Saccharomyces cerevisiae S288C: one gene and its partners. The main gene of each other region encodes a partner of the protein of the gene in region 2 in a complex. Each region holds a gene or a part of one and is shown on either strand. Other genes may lie near its edges. A codon is read from its position in the direction of its gene.

The links.
Region 1: the proteins of VAC8 (region 2) and VAC17 are in contact, whole or in part, in a crystal structure (PDB 7YCJ), measured with the Saccharomyces cerevisiae proteins. Residues at the interface, in NP_010903.3 of Saccharomyces cerevisiae: Ile20 (codon at 1,841), Arg25 (codon at 1,856), Val28 (codon at 1,865), Thr29 (codon at 1,868), Leu31 (codon at 1,874), Leu32 (codon at 1,877), Leu35 (codon at 1,886), Glu36 (codon at 1,889), Leu55 (codon at 1,946), Asn60 (codon at 1,961), Asn62 (codon at 1,967), Leu63 (codon at 1,970), Arg65 (codon at 1,976), Ser66 (codon at 1,979), Leu69 (codon at 1,988), Ala70 (codon at 1,991), Glu73 (codon at 2,000), Thr151 (codon at 2,234), Ala154 (codon at 2,243), Thr155 (codon at 2,246), Lys160 (codon at 2,261), Gly189 (codon at 2,348), Leu192 (codon at 2,357), Asn193 (codon at 2,360), His196 (codon at 2,369), Arg201 (codon at 2,384), Tyr227 (codon at 2,462), Thr230 (codon at 2,471), Asn234 (codon at 2,483), Val237 (codon at 2,492); in NP_009870.1 of Saccharomyces cerevisiae: Pro296 (codon at 887), Ser297 (codon at 884), Asn298 (codon at 881), Pro299 (codon at 878), Thr300 (codon at 875), Phe301 (codon at 872), Gly302 (codon at 869), Thr303 (codon at 866), Ser304 (codon at 863), Ile305 (codon at 860), Ser306 (codon at 857), Asn307 (codon at 854), Val308 (codon at 851), Ser331 (codon at 782), Ser332 (codon at 779), Lys333 (codon at 776), Leu335 (codon at 770), Leu336 (codon at 767), Ser337 (codon at 764), Phe339 (codon at 758), Ile340 (codon at 755), Ala341 (codon at 752).
Region 3: the proteins of VAC8 (region 2) and ATG13 are in contact, whole or in part, in a crystal structure (PDB 6KBM), measured with the Saccharomyces cerevisiae proteins. Residues at the interface, in NP_010903.3 of Saccharomyces cerevisiae: Val103 (codon at 2,090), Ala107 (codon at 2,102), Gly110 (codon at 2,111), Asn111 (codon at 2,114), Cys144 (codon at 2,213), Asn145 (codon at 2,216), Gly148 (codon at 2,225), Cys149 (codon at 2,228), Thr151 (codon at 2,234), Asn152 (codon at 2,237), Thr155 (codon at 2,246), Lys160 (codon at 2,261), Arg182 (codon at 2,327), Asn186 (codon at 2,339), Gly189 (codon at 2,348), Leu192 (codon at 2,357), Asn193 (codon at 2,360), Thr195 (codon at 2,366), His196 (codon at 2,369), Arg201 (codon at 2,384), Tyr226 (codon at 2,459), Tyr227 (codon at 2,462), Thr230 (codon at 2,471), Ser233 (codon at 2,480), Asn234 (codon at 2,483), Val237 (codon at 2,492), Arg242 (codon at 2,507), Gln270 (codon at 2,591), Arg276 (codon at 2,609), Asn277 (codon at 2,612); in NP_015511.1 of Saccharomyces cerevisiae: Arg661 (codon at 6,157), Ile662 (codon at 6,160), Pro663 (codon at 6,163), Ile664 (codon at 6,166), Arg665 (codon at 6,169), Gln666 (codon at 6,172), His669 (codon at 6,181), Tyr670 (codon at 6,184), Ser671 (codon at 6,187), Gln672 (codon at 6,190), Pro673 (codon at 6,193), Thr674 (codon at 6,196), Thr675 (codon at 6,199), Ala676 (codon at 6,202), Phe678 (codon at 6,208), Gln679 (codon at 6,211), Ala680 (codon at 6,214), Gln681 (codon at 6,217), Ala682 (codon at 6,220), Lys683 (codon at 6,223), Phe684 (codon at 6,226), His685 (codon at 6,229).

What each region holds. Positions count from the first base shown.
Region 1 is NC_001135.5:15,047-19,061, reverse strand, and holds VAC17 (Vac17p), read right to left. Parts: upstream 1,773-4,015; coding exon 501-1,772; downstream 1-500. Other genes in the region: chromatin-modulating protein MRC1, read left to right, coding at 1-246; L-serine/L-threonine ammonia-lyase CHA1, read left to right, coding at 2,182-3,264. UniProt on the Saccharomyces cerevisiae protein: Vacuole-specific MYO2 receptor required for vacuole inheritance. Binds simultaneously to MYO2 and to VAC8, a vacuolar membrane protein, forming a transport complex which moves the attached vacuole membrane along actin cables into the bud.
Region 2 is NC_001137.3:127,042-132,667, forward strand, and holds VAC8 (protein anchor VAC8), read left to right. Parts: upstream 1-1,783; coding exon 1,784-3,520; downstream 3,521-5,626. Other genes in the region: EDC3 (Edc3p), read left to right, coding at 1-1,243; YEL014C (uncharacterized protein), read right to left, coding at 1,262-1,567; E2 ubiquitin-conjugating protein UBC8, read left to right, coding at 4,731-4,735, 4,859-5,510. UniProt on the Saccharomyces cerevisiae protein: Functions in both vacuole inheritance and protein targeting from the cytoplasm to vacuole (cvt). Involved in the formation of nucleus-vacuole junctions (NVJs) during piecemeal microautophagy of the nucleus (PMN).
Region 3 is NC_001148.4:903,042-911,454, forward strand, and holds ATG13 (serine/threonine protein kinase regulatory subunit ATG13), read left to right. Parts: upstream 1-4,176; coding exon 4,177-6,393; downstream 6,394-8,413. Other genes in the region: GDB1 (bifunctional 4-alpha-glucanotransferase/amylo-alpha-1,6-glucosidase), read left to right, coding at 1-3,613; PZF1 (Pzf1p), read right to left, coding at 6,692-7,981; DNA-directed RNA polymerase core subunit RPO26, read left to right, coding at 8,216-8,235, 8,312-8,413. UniProt on the Saccharomyces cerevisiae protein: Activates the ATG1 kinase in a nutritional condition dependent manner through the TOR pathway, leading to autophagy. Required for autophosphorylation of ATG1 at 'Thr-226' and its dimerization. May also be involved in the regulation of autophagy through SNF1.

The DNA of each region.
Region 1 (4,015 bases), on a different chromosome or scaffold from region 2:
GACATAAATGATAAGTTTAAAGAAGGTAACAAGACAGTCAAGATTCTAAAGTCTTACAAGACAGTGGGGAGTTCAAAAGCTTCTATCACATATATGGGGAAAACGAGAAAATTAATAGCACCAAAGAGGAAAACTGAAGGGAGCCACCGCTACCACCATGACCATCATAATAAAAAAATGAAAATGAAAACGAAAACAAAATCGAATAAACTTTTTGAAAGCGGACAAGATAGCTTTGATAATTAGTGGTTTTTTATCTTTTCCGAAGAAGTTGATTGAACTCCAGAAGCTGTCTTGAAGTAGTCGCATTAAAAAAGATGGCACCCGAGTCTAGGCCAAGCCATAGTCATGTTATGATAGGATTTTATAAGACAAATATTATAAAGAAGTTTAATAATAATACAAAAAGATACAAAAAAACTTGAAGATATTCTGAATAAAAAAAAAAAGAATAAACATTTGGAGCAAAAGAAGAGTAGGTTAGGTAAAGGAGGCATTAATTAAAACAGCAGTTCTGTATTCAAAGCATCTTGCAATTCTTCTATAGAGACGCTTATATCCATATTATTTTTTTGTTCCTGTGCTACATTATGATTTGATATTCGTTCTTCATTCATGCCCTTATTCTTTCTCCCCCTCTTACTTTGAAAAGATTCTGATATTGTGCTTAACGATGAATTAAACTTATCCATAAAAGATGCATGCTTAAGATTTGTGTTGTTCTCTTTTACCGTATGTGTATCTGATCGTGCAATGAATGATGATAACAACGCCTTAGAACTTGAAATACGAGGACCATTACGACTAGGAGCCATTGTCGCTGCAACAGTTGGATGACAGTTCACTTGGACATTTGATATCGAAGTTCCAAACGTCGGATTAGATGGCCTGAAGAATGAGGCGGAGAAACTTCCCAGATTGAGCGACTTAGAAGGTGCTGGTTTGTTAGATAGTATACTTTCGTGAGAGTTATATCTCCTTAAAGGTTCGAATTCAGCACCCTTTGCGGTCACACCAACATGTGGAGGGGTACTTATGTTTGGTAGAATGATAGTATCTTGATCAGAATCAAAATCTTCATCATCCATTTCATCAAAGAAGGTCAACGAAAGTCTTTGTCTATTTTTGAAGAAAGACTCATACGTATCCGAGGAAGACGGTTTCTTACTTTTGTTCAAGCCAGTATCATGTGATTTGGCTGCACGTAAAGTGCGATTTCTTGCAGGTTGTTTTTTAGGTGAGCACGGTAAAGAGTTAGTTTTCGAAGGACAATCGACTTCATTGATGGGGTTAAAGCCTACCGATTTTTTTGGTGGTTTCGATGGAGTTACCATACACAGACGTTGCCTCTCAATTATTTTCAATGGTCGAGGTTGAAATGACCCTAAACTACTTCTGGTGGATTGCGATTGTGGAGAATCATTAGGCGCTTCATTTGGGACGGTGGCCAGCTCGTTCAACCTCAAAGTGATATCCTGGAATTCACGAACCAAGTCTTCTATGCGTTGATGCTCATTATCCTCTGTGATCAATCTGCGTTGTTGTTCCTTGCTCAACTTGTCTCGAACAGATTCCGATCTAACATACAAAGAGTTCAGTTGAGACATATACTGGTTGTACTGTTGGGATAACTTATCCAATGACTCTTGATCTGTTGTCTGGCATATTGATGATCTCTGCTGACGTTGTATCCACAGATCTAATTGCAAGATAGCCTCTTGCGACCTTATTAAAAGCCTCTCCGTGATATCCTCTAGGGCTTGGGTTGCCATTAATCGATGTGTCCTTGTTTCCTTATGCGAGCTGTTTCTTATCTATCTTATGGTCCCATTCTTTACTGCACTGTTTACATTTTGATCAATTGCGAAATGTTCCTACTATTTTTCTTTTTCTCTTTTCGCGAGTACTAATCACCGCGAACGGAAACTAATGAGTCCTCTGCGCGGAGACATGATTCCGCATGGGCGGCTCCTGTTAAGCCCCAGCGGAAATGTAATTCCACTGAGTGTCATTAAATAGTGCCAAAGCTTTATCAAATTGTTTGCGATGAGATAAGATAAAAGGGACAATATGAGGAGGAACACAGGTATATAAATATCGCCAAATAAAAGGAAAATGTTTATACAGTTTTCTCTTTTTTAAGTGCTGGATAGACAAGAGACAGGAAAATTAACCAGCGAGATGTCGATAGTCTACAATAAAACACCATTATTACGTCAATTCTTCCCCGGAAAGGCTTCTGCACAATTTTTCTTGAAATATGAATGCCTTCAACCAAGTGGCTCCTTCAAAAGTAGAGGAATCGGTAATCTCATCATGAAAAGTGCCATTCGAATTCAAAAGGACGGTAAAAGATCTCCTCAGGTTTTCGCTAGTTCTGGCGGTAATGCCGGTTTTGCTGCTGCAACAGCATGTCAAAGACTGTCTCTACCATGTACAGTCGTGGTTCCTACAGCGACAAAGAAGAGAATGGTAGATAAAATCAGGAACACCGGTGCCCAGGTTATCGTGAGTGGTGCCTACTGGAAAGAAGCAGATACTTTTTTAAAAACAAATGTCATGAATAAAATAGACTCTCAGGTCATTGAGCCCATTTATGTTCATCCCTTCGATAATCCGGATATTTGGGAAGGACATTCATCTATGATAGATGAAATAGTACAAGATTTGAAATCGCAACATATTTCCGTGAATAAGGTTAAAGGCATAGTATGCAGCGTTGGTGGAGGTGGTTTATACAATGGTATTATTCAAGGTTTGGAAAGGTATGGTTTAGCTGATAGGATCCCTATTGTGGGGGTGGAAACGAATGGATGTCATGTTTTCAATACTTCTTTGAAAATAGGCCAACCAGTTCAATTCAAGAAGATAACAAGTATTGCTACTTCTCTAGGAACGGCCGTGATCTCTAATCAAACTTTCGAATACGCTCGCAAATACAACACCAGATCCGTTGTAATAGAGGACAAAGATGTTATTGAAACCTGTCTTAAATATACACATCAATTCAATATGGTGATTGAACCGGCATGTGGCGCCGCATTGCATTTGGGTTACAACACTAAGATCCTAGAAAATGCACTGGGCTCAAAATTAGCTGCGGATGACATTGTGATAATTATTGCTTGTGGCGGCTCCTCTAATACTATAAAGGACTTGGAAGAAGCGTTGGATAGCATGAGAAAAAAAGACACTCCTGTAATAGAAGTCGCTGACAATTTCATATTTCCAGAAAAAAATATTGTGAATTTAAAAAGTGCTTGAAAATCCAATAACTTTTTCGTTGAAGCATCAATTTGCCCTTGATAATTTTCATACATGTACTACATACATTTTACTCATATATCACTATTTTGCTAGTATTGATTTTTTCCAGAAGTATTAGTGTAAGATTTCTCGAAGTAAGCATCAACATATCCAAAACGTTGACATATTTCTAGGCCGGCAATGCACAGAATTTGTATAAAGGGGGACATGCTGCAGAAATTTGCTCAAAATTATCCATGAAAGAAGTACCAATGAAGCACTAGCCTGTTCAAATTCACTTGATACTCGAGCATAAAGCATAAACTACTGCTTTTTAACTTATAATTTCTACCTCTAACACTCAGTGCAGTCTGTAATAAAACACACCAGATATCGTTCTATTAGTAATATAATTATGCTTCTCACGTCAAATTTACTAGCTCGAGAGTTAGTTAATCCTTACTAAGTGAAGAAAAGCAACTATAGTCATAGCAAACATAACATAACATAACATAAAATATAGGTTGTACTTTGTCAATAGAAATACAATCCTATGTATTCCTATAGATTTATAAGAATGTGTTCCGTAATAATCTTCCCAGCTGGTAACATCTAAGGTATTTATATTTTGCCGACATTTGCAGCTCTTTCATCAATAATCATTTTATACCTCTAACTTAGAATGTTTCAGCTTGAATCTTAATCATATATTACAGTAAAGCCCCTCGTTTGTATAAATACCGTAACTCTTTAGTATAAAAATGTAAGA
Region 2 (5,626 bases):
TAACAGAAAGCAAACCCAATTGCAGCAAAATAATTATCAAAATGATGAATTGGTTATTCCAGATGCAAAGAAAGATTCATGGAACAAGATTTCTTCAAGAAATGAGCAAAGCACACACCAATCTCAGCCGCAACAAGATGCTCAAGATGATCTGGTTTTGGAAGATGATGAACATGAATACGATGTCGATGATATCGATGATCCCAAATACCTACCAATAACTCAGTCTTTGAATATTACACATTTAATTCACTCTGCAACTAACTCTCCATCCATAAATGATAAAACGAAAGGTACAGTTATAAATGATAAGGATCAGGTACTAGCTAAATTAGGCCAGATGATCATCAGCCAGTCAAGATCCAACTCAACATCCTTGCCAGCTGCAAATAAACAAACAACCATCAGATCAAAGAACACTAAGCAGAACATTCCTATGGCTACACCAGTACAACTACTAGAAATGGAGAGCATCACGTCCGAATTTTTCAGTATTAACTCGGCAGGGCTACTAGAAAATTTTGCTGTAAACGCATCGTTCTTCTTAAAGCAGAAACTAGGTGGCCGTGCACGTTTACGTTTACAAAATTCTAATCCGGAACCTTTAGTAGTAATACTAGCCTCAGATTCCAACAGATCTGGTGCGAAAGCTCTGGCGTTGGGTAGACATCTTTGCCAAACGGGGCATATCCGTGTCATAACATTATTTACATGTTCTCAAAATGAACTACAGGATTCCATGGTCAAAAAGCAAACAGATATTTACAAGAAGTGTGGCGGAAAAATTGTTAATAGTGTATCGTCGCTGGAATCTGCTATGGAAACATTAAATAGCCCTGTAGAAATAGTCATCGATGCCATGCAGGGATATGACTGTACATTGAGCGATCTGGCGGGGACGTCGGAAGTTATTGAAAGCAGAATTAAAAGCATGATATCATGGTGTAACAAACAGCGAGGATCTACTAAAGTGTGGTCTTTGGATATTCCAAATGGGTTTGATGCGGGATCCGGCATGCCAGATATTTTCTTTTCAGACAGGATTGAAGCAACAGGAATTATTTGTTCTGGCTGGCCTTTGATTGCCATCAACAACTTAATTGCAAATTTGCCAAGTCTAGAAGATGCTGTTTTGATTGATATAGGTATACCACAGGGCGCCTATTCACAGAGAACTTCTTTGCGTAAGTTCCAAAACTGTGATCTTTTCGTCACTGACGGGTCCCTGCTATTAGATTTGTAAACCAAGAATTACTTTAGCCTAAACTGGATACATACGTATAAGCATACGGTAAGGAAGTGGGATCTGTAGCGGTAATGCAATAATGTGTTGGCTCTCACAAATATGAAAACTGCGAACATCTATATAATAAGGTAACGGTATAACAGAAAAATCTGAATAATTTCTCTTTCCCGGGTAATGAGCCCTTAAGGAGGACTCAAAACGAAAAGGAAAAAAATACGAGTGGAAAGAAAAAATGAACCCTTTCCAGTAATTGATAATAATACAATCATTCATTATTAGAAATATATTAGTTCTCAATTCAAGGCAGAATAGTGCTGTCATTGTGATCAAATTTTTGTGTGAGTCTGCTTTGCTTTCTGTTTTTTTTTGTTGACTCGCTGTTCAATCTCCTACTTTTCCTTTTGTTGTTAAAATAAGGTATTATATATTTATACAACCCTATAAAAAGCAATTAGCCAATTTCCAATCCTACGAAGACAGGAACTGAGCAAACTATAAGGGTGTTCTTTCTTCTGTACTATATATACATTTGCAACTATGGGTTCATGTTGTAGTTGCTTGAAAGATTCTTCAGACGAGGCCAGTGTCTCACCAATTGCCGATAATGAAAGAGAAGCGGTGACTTTATTACTAGGGTATTTGGAGGATAAAGACCAATTAGACTTTTACTCTGGTGGTCCACTAAAGGCCCTAACTACTTTGGTGTATTCAGATAATCTAAATTTGCAAAGGAGCGCCGCTCTGGCATTCGCAGAAATTACTGAAAAATACGTCCGTCAGGTCTCTAGAGAGGTACTGGAACCCATCTTAATATTATTACAAAGCCAAGATCCACAGATTCAAGTGGCCGCTTGTGCAGCCTTGGGTAATTTGGCCGTTAATAATGAAAATAAATTATTAATTGTGGAAATGGGAGGCTTAGAGCCATTAATAAACCAAATGATGGGTGACAATGTAGAAGTTCAATGTAATGCTGTTGGATGCATTACCAATTTAGCCACAAGGGATGACAATAAACATAAGATTGCTACTTCTGGTGCTTTAATTCCATTGACTAAGCTAGCTAAATCCAAACATATAAGAGTTCAGAGAAATGCTACAGGTGCATTATTAAATATGACACATTCTGAGGAAAATAGAAAAGAATTGGTTAATGCAGGTGCTGTGCCTGTATTGGTATCTTTACTGTCGTCCACCGATCCTGATGTTCAGTACTATTGTACTACTGCTTTATCAAATATAGCAGTGGATGAAGCCAATCGCAAGAAGTTGGCTCAAACTGAGCCAAGATTGGTTTCCAAATTGGTTAGTCTGATGGATTCTCCATCTTCAAGGGTAAAATGTCAAGCTACTTTGGCTTTACGAAACCTAGCGTCCGATACAAGCTACCAATTAGAAATTGTAAGGGCTGGTGGGTTGCCTCATTTGGTAAAGTTGATTCAAAGTGATTCTATACCACTGGTTTTGGCTAGTGTGGCATGCATTAGAAACATTTCTATTCACCCTCTAAATGAAGGTTTAATTGTTGATGCAGGTTTCTTAAAACCATTAGTAAGATTGTTGGACTATAAGGATTCAGAAGAAATTCAATGTCACGCCGTATCTACTTTGAGAAATTTGGCTGCATCATCTGAAAAAAACAGAAAAGAGTTCTTCGAAAGTGGTGCTGTCGAAAAATGTAAGGAACTGGCTCTAGATTCACCTGTTAGTGTTCAAAGTGAAATTTCCGCATGTTTTGCTATTTTAGCCCTAGCAGATGTCTCCAAATTGGATCTACTGGAAGCAAATATCTTAGATGCTTTAATCCCTATGACTTTTTCCCAGAACCAAGAAGTTTCTGGTAATGCTGCTGCTGCTTTGGCAAATCTATGTTCAAGAGTGAATAATTATACAAAAATTATTGAAGCATGGGATCGTCCGAATGAAGGCATTCGTGGATTTCTGATTAGATTTTTGAAAAGTGACTATGCTACCTTTGAACACATTGCGCTATGGACAATTTTACAATTGCTAGAAAGTCATAATGATAAAGTGGAAGATTTGGTTAAAAATGATGACGACATCATTAACGGAGTGAGAAAAATGGCAGATGTGACCTTTGAGCGTTTACAAAGATCAGGAATTGATGTTAAAAATCCGGGGAGCAACAACAATCCAAGCTCGAATGATAACAACAGTAATAACAATGACACAGGATCTGAACATCAACCTGTAGAGGATGCAAGTTTGGAATTGTATAATATTACTCAACAGATTTTACAATTTTTACATTGATTTTCTTCAAAAGCGGGACTAGGCATTATAATTTTTATCAAAATTTTCTTCTCAGAAGTTTTATTTTCTTTCTCTCCATTTCTTCCATCTTTTTAATCTTTGTTTCCTTTTTTTACATCATATTACTTCTACCTACTCTACTCTATTCTAATTTCAATTGATTTTTTTTATTTTATTTTTTTTTTTGTTAATAAAAGAAGAAAAAACTTAAAAACGAATAAGAGGCTGTCTTTGTTCCGTAGTATATGCCTATTTCCTTCTAGAAGTTTGAAGTGTCGTAAATTTTACCTACGGATAATGTTCGTTACATTGTTGAATGGCAACTGTAGTGAGGTAATGTTCAAAAAGTGAGAAAGCGGGAGAGAAGGGCTACATACAAAAACCAATTCTAGATAACATCTATATCTTCGTTTTTAGAATATATTGTAATAAAACACAATTGATAATACAGTTCTCTCTTCGTCCTCTGATGGTGGGAGATCTATTAAAAATACAAGTTAGCTGAGCGGGGGAAAAAAATAGGTCTTACCCGGATTCGAACCGGGGTTGTTCGGATCAAAACCGAAAGTGATAACCACTACACTATAAAACCTCTTAATTATTGATTTCCACAATAATTTTATCATATATCAACACTATTCTTCACATAGTTTTTTTAATCCCGGTGTCTCTCATCTGCTAATGAAAATACGTTCACTCATATTTCATGCACCTTCCAGTAGACTGACCCTTCATAAGGTTAAGAATATCATGGGGAAATTATCGCAATGCATGTCTCTTAAAGAATACAAGAATATATAAAGGCGAATCAACGATTCTTCACGATAATTTGTTTTCCTCTTAATCACACAGCAGTCTGAATTCTATCAGTGGCACATTAATCCTTGTTTCAATGCTCGTGTGCACATCTGCGTAAATATACATTCTTACGTTTTCTTATTTAATAATAGTAGGTTGAGCTTCGTCCACCGGGTAATGCTCCCGGAGCAGTGGAATTAAAAAAAAAAAGGGTGAGCACCGGAAACAGCTATCTGCGCTTAAGTATCACTAACGTAAAGCATAGGTAGGATTTCCAGTTCTGCCACATTTGATAAATAGTGTAATCCGTAATTATCAAGCGAGATAGTTTTCGAATATAATTTAGAAGTAAGAGCAAAATATTAATAGTATTTCATAAGGAATATTGGAAGAAAGGAGCGTAATACGAAAGATGAGGTATGTTTGATAAGATATATACGTATATTTATATATCACTCTTCTGAGAAAGTATGCCATAGAATGAGGATCACTAACAAAGAAAATGTCAATGAACTTCAAAGATATCGTTTAATGAAACAGTAGCTCTAAAAGAAGGATCGAGACAGATGTTATGAAACTGTTGATGAGTGATCATCAAGTGGATTTAATCAATGATAGCATGCAAGAGTTTCATGTAAAGTTCTTGGGACCAAAGGATACACCCTACGAAAATGGGGTTTGGAGGTTACATGTAGAGTTGCCGGATAATTACCCATACAAGTCGCCAAGCATAGGGTTCGTTAACAAGATATTCCATCCTAACATTGATATCGCATCGGGGTCCATATGTTTGGACGTAATTAACTCTACATGGTCGCCTTTATATGATCTGATAAATATAGTGGAGTGGATGATACCAGGTTTATTAAAGGAGCCTAATGGTAGCGATCCCTTGAATAACGAAGCTGCCACATTGCAATTACGAGATAAAAAACTGTATGAGGAAAAAATCAAAGAGTATATAGACAAGTATGCTACAAAGGAAAAGTACCAACAAATGTTTGGCGGAGATAATGATAGCGATGACAGTGATAGCGGCGGTGATTTACAAGAAGAGGACAGTGATTCTGATGAAGATATGGATGGCACTGGTGTTTCCAGTGGCGATGATAGCGTAGATGAGTTAAGCGAGGATCTAAGTGACATAGATGTCAGTGATGACGATGACTACGACGAAGTCGCAAATCAATAATTTCGAGCACACACATATATATATATATATATATATGTATGTATGTATAAGTATATATGATGGCATACTATACCACACGTACGACTATAATTACAAACAACTATCAAGCAACTACA
Region 3 (8,413 bases), on a different chromosome or scaffold from region 2:
GAATATTAAAGACATCTCGTCCGATTTCGTAAAACTAGCTTCCTTTGTGAAGGACAACGTCACTGAGCCTAACTTCGGCACTCTTGGTGAAAGAAACTCAAACAGGATTAACGTGCCAAAATTTATTCAACTACTGAAGCTCATTAACGATGGTGGTAGTGATGACAGTGAATCTTCGTTGGCCACGGCTCAAAACATCTTGAACGAGGTCAACTTACCCTTATATAGAGAATACGACGATGATGTCAGTGAGATACTCGAGCAACTGTTCAATCGTATCAAATATTTGAGATTAGATGACGGTGGGCCCAAGCAAGGTCCAGTGACCGTTGACGTGCCCTTAACAGAGCCTTATTTTACGAGGTTCAAAGGAAAAGATGGTACTGATTATGCCCTCGCCAACAATGGCTGGATATGGAATGGTAACCCACTAGTGGATTTTGCATCGCAGAATTCAAGAGCTTATTTACGTAGAGAAGTTATCGTGTGGGGGGACTGTGTCAAGTTAAGATACGGTAAAAGCCCTGAAGACTCTCCGTATCTGTGGGAAAGAATGTCCAAGTATATAGAAATGAACGCCAAGATATTTGACGGGTTCAGAATTGACAACTGCCATTCTACTCCAATACATGTTGGCGAATATTTCCTAGATTTGGCAAGAAAATACAACCCGAACCTATATGTCGTTGCAGAGCTGTTTTCTGGTTCCGAAACACTAGATTGTCTGTTTGTTGAACGGTTGGGTATCTCCTCTTTAATCAGAGAGGCAATGCAAGCCTGGTCCGAAGAAGAGTTGTCTAGATTAGTCCATAAGCATGGCGGGAGGCCCATTGGCTCCTATAAGTTTGTTCCTATGGATGACTTCTCATATCCTGCGGATATTAATTTAAACGAGGAGCATTGTTTCAACGACTCCAACGATAACTCCATAAGATGTGTATCAGAGATCATGATTCCAAAGATTTTAACCGCCACTCCGCCACACGCTTTATTCATGGACTGTACCCATGATAATGAAACTCCCTTTGAAAAAAGAACAGTGGAGGATACTTTGCCCAATGCTGCATTGGTGGCTCTTTGCTCGTCCGCCATTGGATCTGTTTATGGCTACGACGAAATTTTTCCACATTTACTGAATTTGGTCACTGAAAAAAGACATTATGACATTTCTACGCCTACTGGTAGCCCCTCGATAGGAATAACCAAAGTCAAGGCCACTTTGAATTCGATTAGAACGAGTATAGGAGAAAAGGCGTATGACATTGAAGACTCAGAAATGCATGTGCATCACCAGGGCCAGTACATTACTTTTCATCGTATGGATGTTAAATCCGGAAAAGGTTGGTACTTGATAGCAAGGATGAAATTTTCTGACAATGATGACCCTAACGAGACTTTACCACCAGTGGTGTTAAACCAATCCACCTGTTCTCTCAGGTTTTCGTATGCTTTGGAAAGAGTTGGCGATGAAATTCCCAACGACGATAAATTCATTAAAGGTATTCCCACGAAATTAAAGGAGCTTGAAGGGTTTGACATTTCTTATGATGATTCTAAGAAGATTTCAACGATAAAACTGCCCAATGAATTCCCTCAAGGATCTATTGCCATTTTTGAGACCCAACAGAATGGTGTGGACGAATCCTTAGATCATTTTATAAGGTCAGGTGCTTTAAAGGCCACTTCAAGTTTGACTCTAGAGTCAATAAATTCCGTCTTGTATCGTAGTGAGCCGGAAGAATACGATGTTAGCGCCGGCGAAGGTGGTGCTTATATTATTCCTAATTTTGGAAAGCCTGTGTATTGTGGTCTGCAAGGTTGGGTTTCCGTATTAAGAAAAATTGTGTTTTACAATGATTTAGCACATCCCCTCAGTGCAAATTTAAGAAATGGACATTGGGCTTTAGACTACACTATCAGTAGACTTAATTACTATAGCGATGAAGCAGGAATCAATGAAGTGCAGAACTGGCTGCGTTCAAGGTTTGATAGAGTGAAAAAGTTACCGAGCTACTTAGTGCCCAGTTATTTCGCCTTAATTATCGGCATCCTCTATGGTTGTTGTCGCTTAAAAGCAATACAGCTAATGTCCCGTAATATTGGTAAATCTACATTGTTTGTACAAAGCTTATCTATGACATCAATCCAGATGGTTTCCAGAATGAAGTCAACCTCTATTTTACCAGGCGAAAATGTTCCATCTATGGCTGCAGGGTTGCCACACTTTAGCGTAAACTACATGAGATGTTGGGGGAGAGATGTATTCATATCGCTAAGAGGTATGCTATTAACAACAGGTAGATTTGATGAAGCTAAAGCTCATATACTAGCCTTTGCAAAGACTTTGAAGCATGGTTTAATTCCAAACTTGCTGGATGCCGGTAGAAACCCGAGATATAATGCTCGTGATGCTGCCTGGTTCTTCTTGCAAGCTGTACAGGATTATGTTTATATTGTTCCTGATGGCGAAAAAATATTACAAGAGCAAGTAACAAGGAGATTCCCACTGGATGATACTTACATTCCTGTAGATGATCCAAGGGCATTTAGTTACTCTAGTACCTTGGAGGAGATCATTTATGAAATTTTGAGTAGGCATGCCAAGGGAATTAAATTCAGAGAGGCTAATGCAGGTCCAAATTTAGATCGTGTTATGACTGATAAAGGGTTTAATGTTGAAATTCATGTCGATTGGTCGACTGGCTTAATTCATGGTGGATCTCAGTATAACTGTGGTACTTGGATGGATAAGATGGGTGAAAGTGAAAAAGCAGGGTCTGTTGGTATTCCTGGAACACCCAGAGATGGAGCCGCAATAGAAATCAATGGGCTTTTAAAAAGTGCTTTAAGGTTTGTTATTGAACTAAAAAACAAGGGATTGTTTAAGTTTTCCGATGTGGAGACGCAGGACGGCGGGAGGATCGATTTCACTGAATGGAATCAATTACTTCAAGACAATTTCGAAAAAAGATATTATGTTCCGGAGGATCCATCACAGGATGCAGATTATGACGTGAGCGCTAAATTGGGTGTTAATAGACGGGGGATATACAGAGATTTGTACAAATCAGGAAAGCCTTATGAAGATTATCAGTTAAGACCAAATTTTGCTATTGCCATGACTGTGGCACCAGAGTTATTTGTGCCTGAGCATGCCATAAAAGCAATCACCATTGCAGATGAAGTCTTAAGAGGTCCAGTAGGTATGCGTACTTTAGACCCAAGCGATTACAATTACCGTCCGTACTACAACAACGGAGAAGATTCGGATGATTTTGCCACCTCAAAGGGTAGAAACTATCACCAAGGCCCTGAGTGGGTCTGGCTTTACGGCTACTTTTTAAGAGCGTTCCATCATTTCCACTTTAAAACCAGTCCACGTTGTCAGAATGCTGCCAAAGAGAAACCATCCTCTTATTTGTATCAACAATTATACTACAGATTAAAAGGCCATAGAAAATGGATTTTTGAAAGTGTGTGGGCAGGATTGACAGAGCTAACCAATAAAGATGGTGAAGTATGCAATGACTCAAGCCCCACGCAAGCCTGGAGTTCTGCTTGTTTGTTAGATCTATTTTATGATTTATGGGATGCCTACGAAGATGATTCCTGAAAATAGCTAAAGCATAAATTAATTGAACGGTCCCTTTTTGCCACCCGCTAATACTTTTATTTCTGTTCAACTATATATACATATATATATATTTACATATTTTTACCTCCCTATCTCTATTGATAATAAAACAAATAAAAATCGTATATTTTTGTATATGTATTATCGTTTTGAGGAGCGAGAGCGAAAACGAAAATAAAAGAAATAAAGGGAACACACGTGAAAGTGAAGGACAGCACCAACCAAGGGGGACAAAACGCGTCAGAGCAAGAGGTGAAAGGGTTGCCACGTACGTATTTGAACCGGAGTGAGCCGTTTGCGTGTTACAATCAATTCGATATCTTTGTTGTTTTGTTTAATTCGCTAAGATCTAAGTTTTTAACTAAGTGAGCAGCGGCAGTTACAGAAAGAGGCGAGAAGTAGAAACAAGGGTGTATAGATTTTCGTTACCTCACATAGATATAGAACGAATTCATAGGTACCAAATACATTCCACTTACACCTTCCAGGCTCAAGTCTTGAAAAGAAAGCAGAACATACAGCCCGGTTGAATAGCATGAGTCATGGTTGCCGAAGAGGACATCGAGAAGCAAGTCCTTCAATTGATAGACAGCTTTTTTCTGAAGACTACACTACTAATATGCTCCACCGAATCAAGTCGATACCAGTCTTCTACAGAAAATATATTCCTATTTGACGACACATGGTTTGAAGATCACTCAGAATTAGTGAGTGAGCTACCCGAGATAATATCAAAATGGTCTCACTACGATGGTCGAAAAGAGTTGCCACCCTTAGTGGTAGAGACATATTTGGATTTAAGACAGTTAAACTCGTCTCATTTAGTTAGATTAAAGGACCACGAAGGCCATTTGTGGAACGTTTGCAAAGGAACTAAGAAGCAGGAAATCGTGATGGAACGTTGGCTTATCGAATTAGATAATTCATCCCCAACTTTCAAATCATACAGTGAAGATGAGACTGATGTTAATGAACTTTCTAAACAGCTAGTCCTTCTCTTCCGTTATTTGTTGACTTTAATACAGTTACTACCCACAACAGAATTATACCAATTATTAATAAAGTCTTATAACGGCCCGCAAAATGAAGGAAGTTCCAATCCAATAACTTCCACGGGCCCACTAGTAAGTATCCGGACGTGTGTCCTTGACGGATCTAAACCAATTTTATCGAAGGGGAGAATAGGGTTGAGCAAACCGATTATTAATACATATTCCAATGCGCTTAACGAATCAAACCTGCCAGCCCATTTAGATCAAAAGAAGATCACACCTGTATGGACAAAGTTTGGACTCTTAAGAGTCTCGGTATCATACAGACGTGATTGGAAGTTTGAAATTAACAATACAAACGACGAATTATTTTCAGCTCGACATGCATCTGTCTCACATAACTCACAAGGACCCCAGAATCAGCCAGAACAAGAAGGACAAAGTGATCAAGACATAGGGAAACGCCAACCACAATTTCAACAGCAGCAGCAGCCCCAACAGCAGCAGCAGCAGCAGCAACAGCAACAGAGACAACACCAGGTCCAGACACAACAACAAAGACAGATACCTGATAGGAGATCTCTTTCACTTTCTCCTTGTACAAGAGCCAATTCTTTTGAACCACAATCTTGGCAGAAGAAAGTCTATCCAATATCGAGACCTGTTCAACCATTTAAAGTTGGTTCAATTGGAAGTCAAAGTGCGAGCAGAAATCCCTCTAATTCATCGTTTTTCAACCAACCACCTGTTCATAGGCCAAGTATGAGCTCCAACTACGGGCCACAAATGAATATTGAAGGTACCAGTGTTGGAAGCACCTCAAAGTATTCCTCCTCCTTTGGGAACATTCGTCGTCACTCAAGTGTAAAGACGACAGAGAATGCTGAAAAAGTATCAAAAGCTGTAAAGAGCCCACTACAACCTCAAGAATCACAAGAAGATTTAATGGATTTTGTTAAATTACTCGAAGAAAAACCCGATCTAACTATAAAGAAGACAAGTGGAAATAATCCACCCAATATCAATATTTCTGATTCTCTAATCAGATATCAGAATTTGAAGCCAAGTAATGACTTATTAAGTGAAGATTTATCCGTAAGTTTATCCATGGATCCAAATCATACATATCACAGAGGCAGATCAGATTCCCACTCACCATTGCCTTCAATATCCCCTTCGATGCATTATGGATCGTTGAACTCGAGAATGTCTCAAGGCGCCAATGCAAGCCATTTGATTGCAAGAGGCGGTGGGAATTCATCTACTAGTGCCTTGAATAGTAGAAGGAATTCTTTAGATAAGAGCTCAAACAAGCAGGGTATGTCAGGCTTACCTCCTATTTTTGGTGGAGAGAGTACTTCATATCACCACGACAACAAAATACAAAAGTACAACCAATTAGGAGTAGAAGAAGATGATGATGACGAGAATGACCGTTTGCTCAACCAAATGGGAAACAGTGCTACAAAATTCAAAAGTTCAATATCTCCAAGATCAATTGATAGCATTTCAAGTTCTTTCATAAAAAGTAGGATACCTATCAGACAACCATACCATTACTCTCAACCAACTACTGCGCCCTTTCAAGCTCAGGCGAAATTTCATAAACCTGCAAATAAGTTAATCGATAATGGTAATAGGAGTAATAGTAACAATAACAATCATAATGGGAATGATGCAGTTGGTGTGATGCATAATGACGAGGATGATCAAGATGATGATCTAGTATTTTTCATGAGTGATATGAACCTTTCTAAAGAAGGTTAAAAATGGTAAAGTTTTATTTTAAAGGGCACAACTAAAGAAAAATAATCAAAAAAAAGGTGAAATAGATATGCAAGAAAAGAAAAAAAAATACAATACTAGTAAACTGAAATAAAAAAGATTAGCCATAATGGATTTGTTTCTCTTTGTTATCGATATTCTTACCTCTTGAAGATCCATGTGTCTATCATTTGAATTGAATATATAATTATATACAGTGAGATATACCAATTGCAGTAACAAAATGGCAAATATGTATATCAGTAATATAATTAGCATATAAAATAAAAAAAAAAAATGCTTATTTGTCACCCGCTGACTGCGTTTCCTTTTGAATTATAAAAGGTTCCTTATGGTTCTGGTCCACTAGCGTTTTATTTTCTTCCTTTTCCTGTAATATTTTTAACTTTAGCTCATGTACTTTGTGCTTGTCTATATGTTTCTCGTATTTTTCCTTTGTCTTGAAAGTCCTAGAACAATTATTGTAAAAGCATCTGTATTTTCTTCCAACGGTATTCAATAAAAGGTTTAGCCCATTTTCACCAGACTCAAGTCGCTTTTCTAAATCCACTTCATTCTGTAAAAACTCTACATTATTGTTTTCGGTAAGTTTTCTCCTTTTCCTCAACCTATTGGAAATCTTCTCTTCATCCTGCTCATTCGAGTGTTTGCTATTCCCCAGTTGAACTCCGTGGTCTTGGACAAGTTGTTGAATATCAGAAATTTTATATTTTAGTTCCAGTGGGATATCTTCTTCCGTATGAATAGACCCATAATGCGTGAGAAGATCATGTTTTCTAGAAAAAGACATATCAGGACATATATGACACTTCCAATTTTTGGTTACTAGTGAGTCGTCATGAATAATCATGTGCATTTGTAAACCATTTTCCCCCACACATGGTTTGCTACAAATAGGACATTTTAATTTAGGATGATCATTTTTTATATGCGATTGCAATTGTGACCATATCCGAAACTCTTTGCAACAACCAGCAAAAGTACATTGGTAAGGATTTTCTACCTCAGGATCGTGATGTTTAGAAATGTGATTTCTTAGCCTATATGGCCTCTGAAAGCTTTTATTGCAGTGTGGACAGGTTAGTTTATGTAAATGAACAGATAAAATATGTGCCCTTAATTGTGGATGCTTGTAGAATCGGAGGTTGCATCCTTCCTCTGGACAAATGAAAGATTTGGTATGCGTTACTTCGTGTCGCTTCAGTTGCTGGCGAGTCGTCACTCCTTTTCCACAATAAGAACATTGGAATGGTTTCGTATCAGAATGCGTATACAAGTGTCTCTCTAAGTGACTCTTTTTAACGAAGGATTTTGCACACTTATCACACTGAAATGCTCTTAAACCCTGATGTACGCTTAATTGGTGTTCAGTCAAAATTGAAGGTCTTGTAAATGCCTTATCACAGCCATCATAGTCACAGAAATATGTCTTTGGCCTATTGCTCGATGAGCTTCTAGTTGATGTTAAACTGTTCAATGATTCTGAACTCTCTGATCGTGATATGGGAATGGTCTCCTGTTTAAGTTCGGCCAGTGGCATTCCTTCATTATTTAGAACCTCTCCTCCCATTTGACAGCGATTTCAACAGTTACTACTGTGCTTAATGCCCTTATTTGATAGTTAGTTCTTCTTATAATAAATAATCATTGTATATTGATTATTCGTATAGTATGATATTTAATTGAAAAAAAAATTTTTTTTTTTTTAAGAATATCATTCAAAGGCATCAATCACAACCTTGAAGAAAGGCTAAAAAGACACATTTTGCAGGTAACAGTGTAAAGATTAAGGCTACAAGTGATCATGTCAGACTACGAGGAGGCGTATGTGCATTCATATTGGAGAAATTGCGTGCTTTAGTTTTAATTATATTTACTAACTTCTATCATTGTGATACAGGTTTAACGACGGTAATGAGAACTTCGAAGATTTTGATGTAGAGCATTTTTCTGATGAGGAGACTTATGAGGAAAAACCTCAATTCAAGGATGGTGAAACAAC